Diceros bicornis minor: one gene and its partner. The protein of the gene in region 2 interacts with the protein of the main gene of each other region in a biochemical or structural test. Links are inferred from orthologs where the notes say so. Each region holds a gene or a part of one and is shown on either strand. Other genes may lie near its edges.

Region 1 (7,931 bases), on a different chromosome or scaffold from region 2:
TTAAGTGACCGTCACTTTTCAGATTTAACTTTTAAAACAGTGGATCTCCAATTTTGTTATGAATCAGGATTACTAGGGGAACTTACTAAAATATAGATTTGCTGGTGACTATTTCAGAATCTTTGCAGGTGGGGCCAGGACTTCTGCTTTTGTGAGTTCCCTCAAGGATTCTGATGGAAAACAAAGTTCAAATTTCTTGAAAAGTTGTATTTCTTATTTCAAACATATATTATTTTTTTATTGTCATATTTTGAATTTTTCCAAAAATCTTGACTTGTAGAGAACAGCTTTACACTTGGAATTTGAAATTTCTATCATCAGTGTGCTATTGGTGGAAACAAAATCTGGATAAGATAACAGGAGAGAAGAAAAGACATTTGACTCTGAAATTTATACAATGTTATAAACCAATGTTACTGCAATAAACAAAACAAAACAAAACAACAACAAAAAAAGAAAAGACATTTGATTCTTTTATGGTTACTTAATTTAATGGTCTGGAGAAGAGGGTGAGGATATGTATAAATGTATGACATTGTTTATGAAGTATCCTTTTTTTCTTCTTAGAGTTAATGATATTCAAATTTTTGATAAATTCTTTAGCTCTTAAAAATTAATAATCTTTAAGAAAGAATATAGGTATATTATAGAATGTTAGTATAAATACTTCCTCCAGGCCAAACAAGATATATTTATACCTTTGTATTTGTTTATTATGCAAACTTTTTATTTTTAACAAAAATGCCATTCTAATAGAAGATCTCTGGGAATTTCTAGACATATTGCCCCAGCTGTTGTGAACATTTGGAATTGCCTAGTAACTGACAATAGATTTCCCTGCTACAAATGTGACTAATGGTGTAAAACTGTCCCACTTCTTATGAAGTTCATCTTCAGTTCAAACGTGAAGACCACAGGTTTTGGAGAAAAATAGTATGGCTCTGCAACTTGTTAGCTAGGTGACCTTGAGCAACTTCCTTATCCTTATCTCTAATATAGGGTTAATATTACATATTCATAGAATTTTTGGAAGGGTTAAATGATAACACATACTTAAAGTCTATAGCACAGAACCTAACATGGATTAGGTTCTTTAAAAAAGTTATTTGTCAGCTGCAGAAAAGGCTGGTGGCTAGATGATTACAGGAAAGACCTTACAAGTTCTAAAGATGTTCATTTCTTACTGGAATTCTTAGCGTCTCACAGAAGCTTAGAGGCCTCCAAGCAGATATCAACACAGCTGAGATAATGATTATAACCAGGCCCTAAATAGAGAAGATCAGAAGAATGAGTCATTGGTTCTATAAAGGTTTACTTCTTGATGAATTTAGACTCAATTTGACTTTGTTCTGCATAGAAAGCCCAAGTATACACTATGTACTCTTCCTTACTGAATTTCAGTGATGTAAATATTTTTGTTCAACTCTTCATGGTTGTTTTGAATGCTAAATTCATGCTCTAAGGCATGAGTTAGGATCTAAATTTAGTCACAATCATGGACATACAGAATATAACATGCTTTCAATTTTATTATCTATGTCATCCAAAAGCACTCATTGTAGCAGATTTAATTTTATTTTTCAAGTAAATAGATTTGATCAGCAAAATCAAATGATCTTGGAAACATCAACTTCATAAACATACAAATGAACCTTAACTGTGCTAAAAGCATTTTATTTCCTGAGAATTATTGAACAATGTCTTCAGGCAAAGTTAAATAAATTCACTACAAAATATTGCATCTACTCTTTTTCAATTTACACAAGGCTATATATTCTTATGGAAAAATGATACTATTTTAATATATTTCATTACAAGACTTATTAGTTCATAAACTTTATTCTGTACTACTTACGTTTCAAATGTCTTAAGCATAGAGAAGAAAATTGAATGTTCTACTAGGGGAGATATTTAAGCATCTAAACTTTAATTTTTTGTGTGTGAGGAAGGTTCACCCTGAGCTAACATCTGTGCCAATCCTCCTCTATTTTGTGTTTGGGATACCTCCACAGCACGGCTGATGAATGAAGTAGGTCCGTGCGTGAGATCCTAACCCACAAATCTGGGCCACTGAAGCAGAGTGTGGAACTTGAACCACTCGGCCATGGGGCTGGCCCCTAAACTTTAATTTTATTGTTAAATACATAGGTTTAGGCATTTCTTCAGAAAAAAAAAAAAAGAAAGAAAAGAAAGGTATAGATTTATAAGTGAAGGCACCAAATTCTCTCTGGAAGGGAAACTTCAGAAGGGTTAGAAGAGGCTCAAATACATGCAGCAGGATATAAAACCTCAATGCTTAAATACAGTAGCATATTTTAACAAGTGTTAAAGCATGGGGAAAAGTTCAAGGGTAATGGTCAGTTAGTTAATGTTCACAGTCAAGTTCTGAACCACAAATCCAGTTAATATGTGTGGAACTGATTGTATGATAAACAATAAGTCAGTTGTAAACCACAGAAACGTGTGCTTTAGGTGTAATGTGACAAACAAAGCTAAGAAGCACAGATTTGCTGTGACACCAAATGTAAATAACCTAAAATGCTACAGGAAACTGACGACAGCCCCTTAGTTCCTGACAGGACACTCTGTGTTTAACAATTTAAAAATATCGTCTCTAAAGGCCAGTTAGCTCAGTTGGTTAGAGCATGGTGCTAAAAAAATATCTTCTCACCCAGAGAGGTTATCGTGATTAGCCCACTTAATAACAATACTATTATTAACAATGAGTATTTATTATCTTAACAAGCACACTGATAGATATTTCATATTTATTCTCTCACTTAAATCTTGCAATAATTATCAGATATTCTATTAACCCTATTTTAAAGCTCTTTAAACTGAGTCACAAAAAATTAAATAACTTGCCCAGGTTCACTCACTGGAAGTGACAGAATCAGGATTCAGTCACAAATACTTCTGACTTGGGATCATGCTCTTAACTACTTTAGTCTATTACCTCTCTTTTTTCTTAATTTCCTCAATTTGTAACATTTGTCCGAACAGACTTACTTTCATCATATTTTTATATGAATATATATAACTGCGATCTCACTTTTCTCTTTAAATTTCACCTCTATCTCTCTTCCATTTCTACTTCATTTGCCTTAAAACTTCTTTCATGTTTGTCCACTTTTCCACTATGTTATTAGGCTATAGGAAATATCATATATACATAGACATTAATAATTATTTAATGATAGTTATGAAAGTGGAGCCCTGAAGGACAAATACATGGGCTTTCAATATATGAAACATAAATGTATAAAACTAAGAAAAAATGACTAATTTATTGTATTACTTTTATAAGTATGGCTGAGGCATGGAGGGGATTTGATTAATAGCTGTTTGGTTAAAAGAACAGTAAGCAAAAATTTAGAAAGTAATGTAAATGAACATGGAAAAAATTCTACAAACCATTAAGAATATCGTGGGAATAAAATGAAAGATTGGAAAAGATGGCAAAGAGAAAATATGATACATTTTCAGCTAAAAATTAGCTGAAAATTTGCCAACTTCTAACCTAGCCTAATCCTAGGTTTATTGATCCAATATGCAAATGGAGAAATACAGTGTGATAATAAACATATCAGAAAAGGTTAAATTTTATAAGAAAACAAAGAAATTACTATCTAAACAAGATTCTAGTTATCTTCTATCAAATACACAAAAATTAAAGTAAATGATAATATCTAGTTATGAAAGTATTTAAAGAAAATAAATATTGAAAAGCTCACTCCTACTTTCTGAAGGAAATATTATTGGCATAAATGAAGGGGCAAAGCAGTAATACATATCTGTAGGGGAGGAGAGAACTCTGCTCTTCCTTCTTTGGGTCTCTGGCTAGGCCTAAGAATTAAATTGACATAAGGCAGACTAACAGGAGAAAAGCATACAAATTTTATTAAATTGTTACATGTACACGGCAGCCTTCACAAGAGAATGAAGACCTGAAGAAGTGACCAGAGCAGAGAAGCTTTTGTACCTTATAGACAACTTTAATAATTCTGCTTGCTCCCTCTTGCATCTCTGCCATGGCAGTGAGAAGAGCATGCCCAGGCTAGCCTACTGGTCCCTCTGAAGCAGAGCAAATCACCCCAGCTGAACTCACCCTAGATCCAAAGACCTTCAGCTGACCTTAGCAGAGTGAGAGAGCTAAGATGAGGTCAACAGAGCTGTCCAGCCTTAAGCCGCTGAACTCTGAGATACGCCAGAAATAAATGTTCACTGAGTTCCTCAGTGGTTTGTTACATATCAAAAGCTAAAGCTTATAGACACATTTTAATAAGAAAAATATCCATGCATTGCATTCAAGCATGACAAAGCATATTTGAGGCATAAAGGAAATAATTAACTGTGGTTATTCTGGCTTTATGAATATGAGCAATTTTAATTTTTTCTTCATACGTATGTATGTTTTAAAATATCTATACAATAAGCATGTATTATTTGCCATAAGCAGAATTTTAAATAGAAATGATAATAGATAATAAAGTTATTTATCTTCTTCCATTTTAAAGAGAATAAATTGCTGTTGAAACTTTCTTATTAATCCAAATAAAGTTTTTTCCTTAGGAAATAAGAACTGATTCCAGAAAAGTGATAGAAATAAAAGTACGTGAATCAACTATTCAGTATTATAATCTTTGGATTTAGTGGCTTTTACTGATTGGATTATGGGCACATAAAAATCTCAAGGTAATGCTACATATAGTTTAAAAATAGACTTTAGTTTACTCTTTCTGTTTCCTAGCCAAAATGCAAGTAGTGTGTTTCCTGCCATTAAAAACTTTATCCAACTTTTTCATGGCTAAAAGATAATTTTCCCAGGGATATTCTCTTAGAAAAAGTTGAAATAATGTTTTAAATGCTTCTGTGATACTTGCTGAATGATATTTGAGGCAAATCAGAACCTCTTTGCTTCTGATCTAAAACAGGCGAGATTAGTTCATCCATAGCTTTAAAAATTACCCTGGGAGACCTTGTCTGCGCCCGCCCCGAATCAGCGGTTCTCCACGCACCCAGCCTTCAGCGAGACGTGCCGCGCACCGACGGAGCGGACATGGGCAGAGCGATGGTGGCCAGGCTCGGACTGGGGCTGCTGCTTCTGGTGCTGCTCCTACCCGCGCAGATTTGTTCAGCTAACACTACTACTGTAAACACACTTTCAAGTAACTTCTCCCAGAGTACCTCGGCTGCCCCAAATACAACTAGTGTCACCGCCAAGTCAGGTAGCGGTGCTCTGCAGTCAACAGCCAGTCTCTTCGTGATCTCCTTCTCCCTTCTACGTCTCTACTGTTAAGAGACTCAGGCCAAGAAACATCTGTACTTCTCCATCTTCTAAACCCAATCCAAATGGCATCTAGATGTCCAGTGTGGCAAGGGAAAAAACAGGTCTTCATCAAATCGGCTAATTCCACACCTCATTTTATTGACCCAGAAAATGTTGAGGATCCCAAATTTGATTGGCTTGAAGAGCATGTGAAAGGTTTGACTAGAGGATGAATGCCAGTATTAAATCTGCTGGAGTTTCACGTACAAGATGAAGAGAGACAACCTCCAAAAATTTTAAGAGATGATTTCCTGAAATGTGGCTTAAGAAATATAGACTCATAAAACTCTACCTTGAAAATAAGAATAGATTTTATCTTATCTAAAGATCAAGGATGGGATGTGGAACAGAGATTCAGTTTTCATTTGGTTCTTTAAACCTATGAGGCCATAAAACAGGTAATATAAAAAGCTTCCATGATTCTATTTGTGTGTTCATTAGAAGGAACTTCCAGGTGTTACTGTAAATCCTCAATGTATTGTTTCAACAGTACTAATTTAATGCCGATGTACTCTAGATAAAGTTTTATATTGTTAAGCTATCACTGTTCTCTTGAGAACTGAACTCTTTTTTCCTCTGAGACTTTGGATTTGACATTGTATTTGACTTTATGTAGTAATTGGCATGTGCCAGAATAATGATGGATTGGAATCTACCCTAAATCCAAGCATAATGAGTAAATTTTGCTTATGTACTAATCACCCATATTCAACAAGAGCGCCAGATTCGTTTAACTGAACTGATTCCAAATAGAAGTGCATTGACCTCAACTAGTTTCAAAATGCTTTCTATTTCAGCCTATGTCGAATACTTTTTACAATTTAAAAAGTGGTCTGTTTTGAAGGTAAAATTGACAAATCTTGAAATTAAAAAGGCAAATATGTGAAGGAGCTGAAACTGTAAATCAAGTATTTTAGAAGTGAAGACTGGAAGCTAACTTTCATTAAATTCGGAAAAACTTTTATACTCTTTCTGTAAATACTTTTTTTAAAAACTATGAATCAGAATAGCCACATTTGGAACACTTTCTGTTATCAGTCAATATTTTTAGAGAGTTAGAACCTGGTCCTAAGCCTAAAGTGGGCTTGATTCTGGAAAGTAAATCTTTTCACAACTGCCTCGATGCACAAAAACCTTTTTAAAAATAGACACTCCCTAAAGTCTTTTGTTCGCATGGTCGCACACTGATGCTTAGATGTTGCTGTGTGTGATATGACCACAGTAGTCTTGATAACCAGTCATTTTTTTTTCCATCTTTAGAAACCTACACCAGAACAACAATATCCAACAGATCTCAAGCTACTGTGTGTGTGAATGAACATTCCCTTTTGTTTCATATCTGAATGCTGTACATCTATTTTGGATTGTATATTGTGTTTGTGTATTTATGCTTTGATTCATAGTAACTTCTCATGTTATGGAATTGATTTGCATTGAACACAAACTGTAAATAAAAAATGACTGAAAGAGAAAAAAAAAAAAAAATTACCCTGGGAGATTTTTAGGTTTTGTGGTGTTATTTTCACAAATGACTGTTTCAAAGTCTGAGAAAATTTGCAAGTTATATTTCATATTTCTCTTTCCCTCAATCCTCACATGCAATCCATCAGTAAGTCCTGAAACTTTTTTGCACCTCCACTTTTATCATTATATTGTCAAAGTATAATTTTTAAACTTAGAAACATGACTTTATTACAAATATCAATTGAGCATGTGCCAAACATTTATTTAAATCAAGGAGGGAATTGGCAGGAAGGTAAAGCTGGTTGAAGGAGCATTTGAAGAGAGTTTGATATAGTCTGTTAAGAAAGGCATGCTGAAATAAGTTTGCAAATTTAGGGACAAAACTGGTTAATATCCAACAGGGCAATAAAATTACAACCTTTGAGATTACCTTTCTTCTGGGAAGAAATTATTTACATCTCTAATGGGAAACTACAAGTCAACGTGTAACTTCACGGATTCTTAGCCTTAATCAACAGTAAATAGCATAGCAGACAAAGGTACATACTCTAGGAAGTTAAATTATTCCTGGGTAATCCTGTCAAATAATGCCCCAGTCTGACACTGAAATTACATGCAGGTATTCTATTGATTTAATAGCCGTTTCGAACAATTTTTCTTAACATTTCCCCCTTGGGATCATAAGTAATCTCCAAAGAATATTCTTCATCAAAAAAGGCTGGTCTTCTTGTGTTTTGACCTGATTAACTTACATAGGTTAGTAAAAGGCATTAATTAAACATAGAAGCTTGTCTATAGTATAGTCAGCCAGTTTAGAGCCATTCAGTTTTCAGCAACTCGTTGCCAGAGAATTAACTTCTTTCTAGAGAATGTAAAAGGAAAACATTAAAAGTAACAAGAATATATCAAAATAAATTGTGTTGGATAAAATATGCCCACAAATTCTTTTCTGCTTTTTCCATCAAGTCTTATTTCCTCTTTTTAAACTTGGTTTGGTCTTGTAACTTTCTTTAATCAATAAAATTCAGCAGAAATGGGTGTTGTATGTCTTTTCACTACTGGATCACATTAGAATCACACCTAACACATCCATCTCAATAAATATCTGCTGCATAAATGAATGAAAACTTGAAAAAAT
Region 2 (8,230 bases):
AGTAGGTTGATTTAGTTTCACTCTTGATTCATCTTTAATTACCAGAGCTTTTGAGCATAAAATACCCACAGAAAACAAAGAGAACAGGGTTAGAAGGACCTCTTCTTCTCTTTCCAGAAAGCACTTTTTAATGAGTTTAATGGAAAAAACTCCAGATTTTAGCGTAGTATTGTTTCAGCTGGACTTGAATTTGAATCCCATTTTTTCCATTATCAGCTCTGTCATCTAGAGCAAGGCATTTAACCCTGCAAGCCTCAGTTTCCTTTTTAATAAAACGTGTATCATAATAATCTCTGAGTAGACGGACCAGCTATGCAGATAGAATCTACCTCATAAAGTTGTTGCAAGGATTAAATGAGAGATAGCTATTAAAATGCTTAGCATATGGTCCGGCCCAAGAATAAGTGCTCAGTAATGGTAGCTCATAATCGTAATATCTCTCCTTCACTTCCTCAGTGACTTTGAAATAGTCTATTCATGGTATTCATTTATAAATAGATCACCCACTTAATTGTGTTTCTAGTGTTCTGCTGTATGTGATAACCTTTCTGTGGTTATCATAGCTTTCTGGTAATCAAAGGGCCCTAGACACAATATGCTTTTGGAAGAGTAAAAATACTTTTAATGTGAAAAACCACTTCCTAATTCATCTGCTGAGTTTAGAGTATTATCCGTATGTGCCTGTCCAACCACTGAGCTTGCACAAAAGAATCTGACTTATTCCACCGAGCTGAGGTCATCTCCTCTGAGCACCCTTTCTGACCACCTCTCCACTGCATGATCAGACTGAGGTAGCCGTCCTCTTGTGGGGCTCGCACAAGAATGTGTGTATATACTCCCTCCTCCATATTGTTCGTAACTGTCTGTTTCTATGTCTGGCTCTCCCCTGGCCTTGAGCTCCTTCAGGCCAGGGACTGTGTTTATTCATTTCTGTGTCTCCAGAGCATAGCTTAGATGATAGCACAGAACAGGTCCTCACAAAAATGTGTAGATGAATGAATGAACTCCTGGATGGGGCTAAGTGGGCATAAACATGGTAACGTGGAGTGTGTCTTGAGAATTCGATTTCTATTTAAGGATACGTGAGTGGACAGTTTTGTGAAAGTTCATGTTTATTGTCTGATTGTCTGAGACCTTTGCCAAGATGATTTGTTTCTTTGCCTTTCCTTCCCTTTCAAAAACTGGAGAGCAAAGATAGAGAAAAGAAACACTTGAGTGGAATACCACAGACCAATTTCCACAGAATTTCAGCAGGAAGAGTATGTGTAAGATATCACGAAACTTGTGTAAGATATTTTCTTAAAATTATACAGGGAGAGCTGACATCTTTGTCCATGACAGTGTCAGCCATCAGGGGAGGGACAGACACTTGGGAGTTTTTTTAGTTGTAACTAGAGCAGAAATATATTTTAAAATGTCAGGAAGGTTTATGATATACTATCAAATGGAAAGCATTGTATTGAATGTACCTGAATGCACAACGTGCTAACGGTTCCCTTGGAGACAGTATTACGGGTGATTTTTTCCCTTCTGTGTGCTTTTCTGAATTTTCTTTTTCTTTTTTTCTTTTTTTAACAATGAACATGTATTATATTAAATGATAAGGAAAAAAAGCTATATGTTCTCTTTTTTAAATTCTGACTTGTCATCCTACAGCCTTTATGTAGAAAGTTCTCTAGTCTTCTCTAAGTAGAGGGACCACCTGTGCAGCCGGCACTTCCCTGAGGAATTAACTGTCTTCTCTACGACCCCACAACAGACAGTGTACATGAAGACACAGCCCTAACATGGCCTGAAGACCCGGCGTGGTCTGGGTCCAGCCTCCTTTAGGGCCCTGCAGCCACTGAGACTGTCTGAGGCTCCCAGGCTGCTCTGAGCCTTGACTGGCCTAGAATGATCCCTCACCCAGTGTGGTCACGCTTACTCAAAATTTTTTTTTTACTGAAGTATAGTTGACATACAGTTTTATATTAGTTTCAGGTATACAACATAGTGATTCGACACTTACCTACATTACAAAATGATCACCACGGCAAGACTAGTAACTATGTCACCATACAAAGTTATTACAATATTATTGACTGTATTCCTTATTCTGTACATTACATCCTTGTGACTCATTTATTTTATAAGTGGAAGTCTGTACTCCTTATTCAAATGAAGACCTCAGCTCTAAAGTCGCTCTCCCCAGGGAACCTTCCTCAGGTCAAGTTCCCATCATACCCTTTCATTGAACCACACGTTCTTCCCCCTGCATTTATTTGTGTGACTTTTATTTAATATCTAATGCCTCCCCTACCTGCCCCCCAAAAAAGACAGCAACCATGAGCTCCGTGAGAGTTTTGCTAACACACTGCTAACACACTGCTGGGAGCCCAGAAGGGACTTAAATGTTTCTTGCGTATATAAATGCACTGCTGTACTAAGATAAATAGAATCCAGAGAGGAAGATGGGAGGGGGCACTTTCATTGTGTCTATCTAATCCCAGAGTTGTCAATCTAACTAATGAATCAACAAGTATTTGTTAAGTGTATATTTGCCTTCAGCTAGATACTCAAGGAGAAGCAAGACTAATATAAGAAAAGGTCCCTGCCTTCTAGGAATTTAGATTACAATATGAAGAGATGAGAAAACATATATGAGACAGATAAATAACACTACTAATTAAACTATATTGGAATTATATGATATTTTTAATGGCCGGATAATTAGAAACAACCTAAATTTTCTACATAGACTATATCCATATGAGCAAATGCTATTCAGCCTGAACAGCTTTTAAAGAAAGTCAAATGGTATTTTCCTCCCATTTCTATTCCTAGGAATACTTTTCTACTTCCCTCGTATTCCCTAAAATTTAGCATTATCCAACTTAAAACACATTATTAATAAGAGCCTATAGTCTACATAGCACCTTCTCTCAGACCTAAATTTCCCCGAGAAATTAAAAAAAAAAAAAAGCTGAGGCAATGCCAAAAAGAGGTACTGGAGAGTGAAATAAGAACAGAAGGCAGTGGAGGTAAGTCTTATAAAAATAAAAGCTAAACTTACCGTGAAATTACAGTGTGCCAGCCATTGTTCTAAGCACTTCACATGTAAACCCTCTTAATTGTCTTAACACTTCTACGTGGTGATGCTTGGTGACCATTATCTTTACTGATTAATATAGCTGAGGGAACTAAGTCACAAGGAGGGTAGTCACTTGCCCAGGTCACACAGCTGGGAGGTGGTGGAGCCAGGCAGTCTGGCTCCAGGGCTGGGCGGGAACCACGGCATCATGCTGCCTCCCAGCTCCCCATTCTCTCCTCTTTCTCTACATCCCTTGTTCCCCTCCTATCATTCTTCCATCACCACCTCCTTCACCAGGCTTTCTATTTCTACTTTGTAATTAATCCCTTCCTCTTGGTCCCAAATTCCTAAGGGCAAATGCAGTGCCAAGCTTCTTAAACCATCTTTACCTTTGGACATCCTTCTAGATCTTTCCAATTTATTCTGTTTTTAATCTATCCACGAGATGCCTACTTACAAGCTGTAACAATCATGGAGTGAATGAAAAATAACACCCACCACCACACAACGAGAATTCCAAGAGGATAAACTGGAGTTGTGGTTTTCTGACTTCACACTAAATACTTGATACTTGATTTTGCTGTCTGAAATCTGAAAAGTAATAATAGTAGCTTACATTTGTCGAGTGCCAACTGTGCGCCAGATATTGTTTCAAGCACTCTCCATATATTAACTCCTTTGATCGCACAACAACCCTGTAAGGTAAGTTGTGTTATTATCATTCTGTTTAGTTGAAAAAACAGAGGCATAGAGAGTTCAAGTAATTTGCCTAGTGGAGAGCCATGCGTGGAGCCAAGATGGGTCTCAGGCAGTTTAATCTAAGCCCAAGTCAGTGCCACACAGCCTTTTACTCCCACACACTAACCGTCCCATCTTTATGATAGAAGGAACAGAAGTTCCTTTCTAATAAAGACCCATGTCTGTTTTATATTTCACTTCAAAATTGTTTCCAACAATCACCCCCAATTGCCAGAAAACCCTCAGTGGCTTTTTCCTTTCCTACCTAATTACTTTTTGTTACTATTTTTGCTCCTTTCCTTCAGAAGCCTGCTGGAATAGTAAATATTCACTGAGATTTCCCAATAACTGGAAAATTTACACTAGGACGTTATGATTAAGACAAAGTGTGTTTTCCAAATACATGACCTTACATTGGGGTTCACATCATAATCAAAGGAAACCTGACCCCTGGGGGTGTGGGGGCTGTTCCTGCGCAGCTCAGCCTCAACGTCCAGGAGTGACTCACACTTGTCCCTGCTCCAGACCATCCTCCATGGAAGAGGGCGACTCCTGCCCCCTCGGTGACTGCTGTTTCTATGCTGCCAGCATTGCTCCTGTATTATCAACGTTCTAACCGCGTGGGAAGGGCTATGGTGAATTTCTGGAAAGTGAATAGGAAGTTGCTTTTCTAAACAGCCTGACACTGACGGGAGGCAGCGAAACTATAAGAAGTCTGGGTTGGGCAGACAGCAGAAAGCCAGCGGAGTCGCAGAGGAGATGGTAAGTTCATTTCTCTTTCCTATGGGAAATGGATGAGCTGAAGTGATTTGTGGGTGAATCAGGCAGGTAAATGTTCAGAAAGTGAGAAATAGCAACAGTTATGGAGCTTTGTGTTGAACAGCCCTTTGGAGTATACATTTCAAAACCTGCTGTCCACTTTGACCCTCCCCACATCCCTGTGAGTGGAGGTCGTTATTTCCATTTTACAGAAGAAGCCGCCGTGCCTCACAGAGGCTGGGTGCTTTACCTAAGGCTGCATTCGCTGTTGTCTGAACCCGGACTCCTGTCCTCTGGCTCCACAGTTGCTGTTTTTCCTATCAGGGCTTTTGGAGCAGATCTTGGTAAACCCTCGACCCTCTTCTTCAGGACCGCTCTGCTCTCTGGGTTGAATGCAAGGCTGAGCAAGTGCCCTGGGTCAAGGCTACAGTTGAATGGTTTCTCATCCCCCACGCTCCTGTTTCTTTCTCTGAGCCCTACGAGTTTGCTGAGACTGCTGTGCAGCAGCCACATGGTTCCCATTTCTGCCCTAAGTCTCAATCCTATTAGTGACTCAGTTTCCTCATCTGTAAAATGGAGATAATAATAGTATTTTACTTTGTAGTGTCATTGTGAGGATTAAATAAGATTACACTGAAAGGTACTTCAATCTGAGGCTGGCACATAGTAACTGATTAATAAATGCAAGCTATTCTTGTTATGAGAAAGAGAAAACTCTTGGGGTTTACTGGAGTTTGGGATCCAGGGAAGATCCAAGGAAAAAGGCATTCTTGAACTCATTAACATTATCCTAGATAAGACAAACACAGTTTTACCCCCAGCTTACCAGGAGTATCTCATACAGTTCCGGTGTCCAAAATCCTGCAGCCTGTAGCTAGAGAGGAACCAGACTGTCTCCGTTTTTGAGCCCCTTTCTATGGGATTCCAGAAGAAAGTAGCACTTACATTTGATTTATCCCACCTCTTGCTTTACTGTGGTACACTTTTCAAACACCTGTAATGAGGATGTTCTGTGTCGGGGAGAATAGGGATGAGAGGGCGATGAAGAGAAGAGGAAGGGGTTTCAGTCTGTCGTAAGTCTGAACCCCAATGACGTAAGAATGTAGCTGACTTTTGTCTTCTCTTTTGCATATCATACTTCTGAATTGGTTAACTTAAATGAATGAGCAGTTATTCCCCTCTTCCTTCTCCTCTCTTTGGGATCCTCCTTTATTTCAGAGGTGTGTTAACATATTGGATCATAGAGTCCTTTGAGATTCTGGTGAAAGGTTCAACTCCTGTTCCCATATGAAAACACTAACATCCACATAAACACCAAGCTTTGTGGACAACCGCAGGGGGTTCCCAGACCTCACGTGGGTCCCAGGTTAAGAACTGCGCTCTTGCCTCCTATGCTTTGTGCTCAGAAGCTCCTCAATTGGCATCCTGAAATTAGACTGGAACTCCCTTGAAGTGCTAGGGACTCCAGCCCTGAAATTATTTTAAATATTCCAAAGACAAGACCCCCTCTTTTTCCCTTGAACACATTTAACTTTGGGGGTTCAGGAACCTCAAACTCTGTGTATAATTTGGCTTCAAGTTCAGAGAGTGACTTCAATTGACCTCTAGGACCTGAGGAAAGAGGTTCAAGTTTATCTGGTGGGGTGTTTTCAATCAGGTAGCTCTCAGAGGGGGAGCTCTTGATTGGGAATTTACAGTTAAATTATGCCAATATTTGGCAAGAGGGCGAAGGAGCAGGTCTGGGTTCTCTTCCGTTTCTGCCTTTTAGCCATCTTAGGTCTGTGGCTTCTAGTTCTTACTCTTCCTTCCATTACCTGTTTTTCAAAATGCATCTAGATGATTCCCACTCTTCCCGCTCTGGAAGGGGAAACGACAGCTCTTAGAATGCGCAACTTCAGAATTCTGTAAGTGGAAGCTTATTGTTAATCAAAATCCTCAAAAATCAAAATGACTTACGACACAATAGATAGCACTGAGAAAAGACCCTGGACCTAAGCCTAGAGAGTAGGCACACGCTGGTTTCACAAAGGACATTCATTACGTTGTCTTCTAGGTTTCTAACATCTCTGATCAAAAAGCAAAACAGAAATTTTATAAAGTTAAATACAAAACTAATCCTTTATATTTGTAAGAATATTGCTCTGCCATGGTCGAAAAGACTTAAAAAATTTAGGTATGCTACTTTATTTTTAGTGCTAATATTTCACTCTGAATATTGGCAATCAGTAGTCTACTTTACATATATGCTTTGATTCTTAGAGTTGCTGTCCTGGGCTCCTTCTTGCCTTTATTTCTAATTTGCTGTTTGATTAGAGATCTCTTTTTTCACTGTGTTTCATTTTTTACCTTTAAGCAGGGGCTGCACCAATATCTGTAGCTATACCACCACCACCACCCAGAAACTTAAGGGAAATTGTCAGTCATAACGACTTGTAAAATCTATACTTTGCCACTAACAAGTTGTGTATTTCTGCTTCCTCAGTGACCCTCACATCTACCTACCCCCTTTGCATTCCCATTGACCTCAGCCCAAGCCAGGCTCTCTATAACTCCCACTGGGACTATTACAGTAGCCTCCTCTTTTCACAGCTCAGTATCTTTGCTTCTAATTCATCAAACACACCATTGTTAGATGCACCTGTTCAGCATGCTTCTCTGTTCAGAACCCTGGAAATTGAATCCCTTCTGCTGACTGTCATTTCAGACCCACAAGATCTGGCCTCAACGTATCTTTTCAATTAAACTCTAGGACCTCCCAATTTTCAACATCAATCAGATTACATCACTACCTCTCTTAAAATTTCCCCTGCCCTTCTCGTTGCACTTAGAATATCTCCTCCCCTTGTTTTGGCTCCCAAAGCCCGGCGGGATCTGTCACCAGATCTTCATCCATACTCTCCTTCCCCCTGCTCACTCCATTCAGCCCACGCTGATATCTTCATGTTCTTTGGACTCTCCACACTTCACTTCCACCCTAAAGCCTTTGCATCAGCTTTTTCTTGTGTCTTTAACACTCTTCCTCCTGCTTCTTGCTGCCTGGTTTCTTCCGGTCATTCTGCTCATAGCTTAAATGTTACCTCCTTGAGAGGTCTGCCCTGACCTCCCTGTCTTACATAACCACCCAGTCACTCTATCACATCACCCTGTTTGAATTCTCTACCTAGCACTTATCATTATCTTCTATTTTTCACATTTACTTGTTCCATAGTGTTGTGTATTTACTGGTGTTGGTTTCATTGTCTGTCTCCCTCAATAGAATGTACATTCCGTGAAGATGGAAACTATATCTGTTTTTATCATTTTAATGTGAGTGCCTGGAACAGTGCCTGACACATTGTAGGCACTTAATAAATCAATAGTTATTGAAATAATAATGGGAAAGAACACAGGCAATAACAAAGGAGCACCTAACATGGTATGGGGAGGAGGGGATTGGTGATAGGGAAGGCTCCTCTGAGGAGGAGTTTTTTGGACTTATAGAACTAGGCAAACAAGAAGGAAAGGGTGCCCCGGGCATAAGAAGAACATGGGGAACATGCAGTGCATTCAGGGAACTACAAGATGTTTGTTATAAATGTAGAATTGTATTTGTGTGGGGTTAATTGAGGGGTAAAGGCAAGAGACGAGACTAGACAAATAGGAAGAGGCCACATCTTGAAGGGT

Evidence for each region. The genes of interacting proteins can lie anywhere in the genome.
Region 1: the proteins of SELP (region 2) and CD24 form a complex in vitro, tested with the Homo sapiens proteins (2 studies listed by BioGRID and IntAct). The link is inferred for Diceros bicornis minor from reciprocal best matches to the Homo sapiens genes SELP and CD24.

The regions. Positions count from the first base shown.
Region 1 is NC_080749.1:66,398,636-66,406,566, forward strand, and holds CD24 (signal transducer CD24), read left to right. Parts: upstream 1-4,982; 5' UTR 4,983-5,059; coding exon 5,060-5,299; 3' UTR 5,300-6,659; downstream 6,660-7,931.
Region 2 is NC_080743.1:96,116,925-96,125,154, forward strand, and holds the start of SELP (P-selectin), read left to right. Parts: upstream 1-4,472; 5' UTR 4,473-4,567; coding exon 4,568-4,570; intron 4,571-8,230. UniProt on the Homo sapiens protein: Ca(2+)-dependent receptor for myeloid cells that binds to carbohydrates on neutrophils and monocytes. Mediates the interaction of activated endothelial cells or platelets with leukocytes. The ligand recognized is sialyl-Lewis X.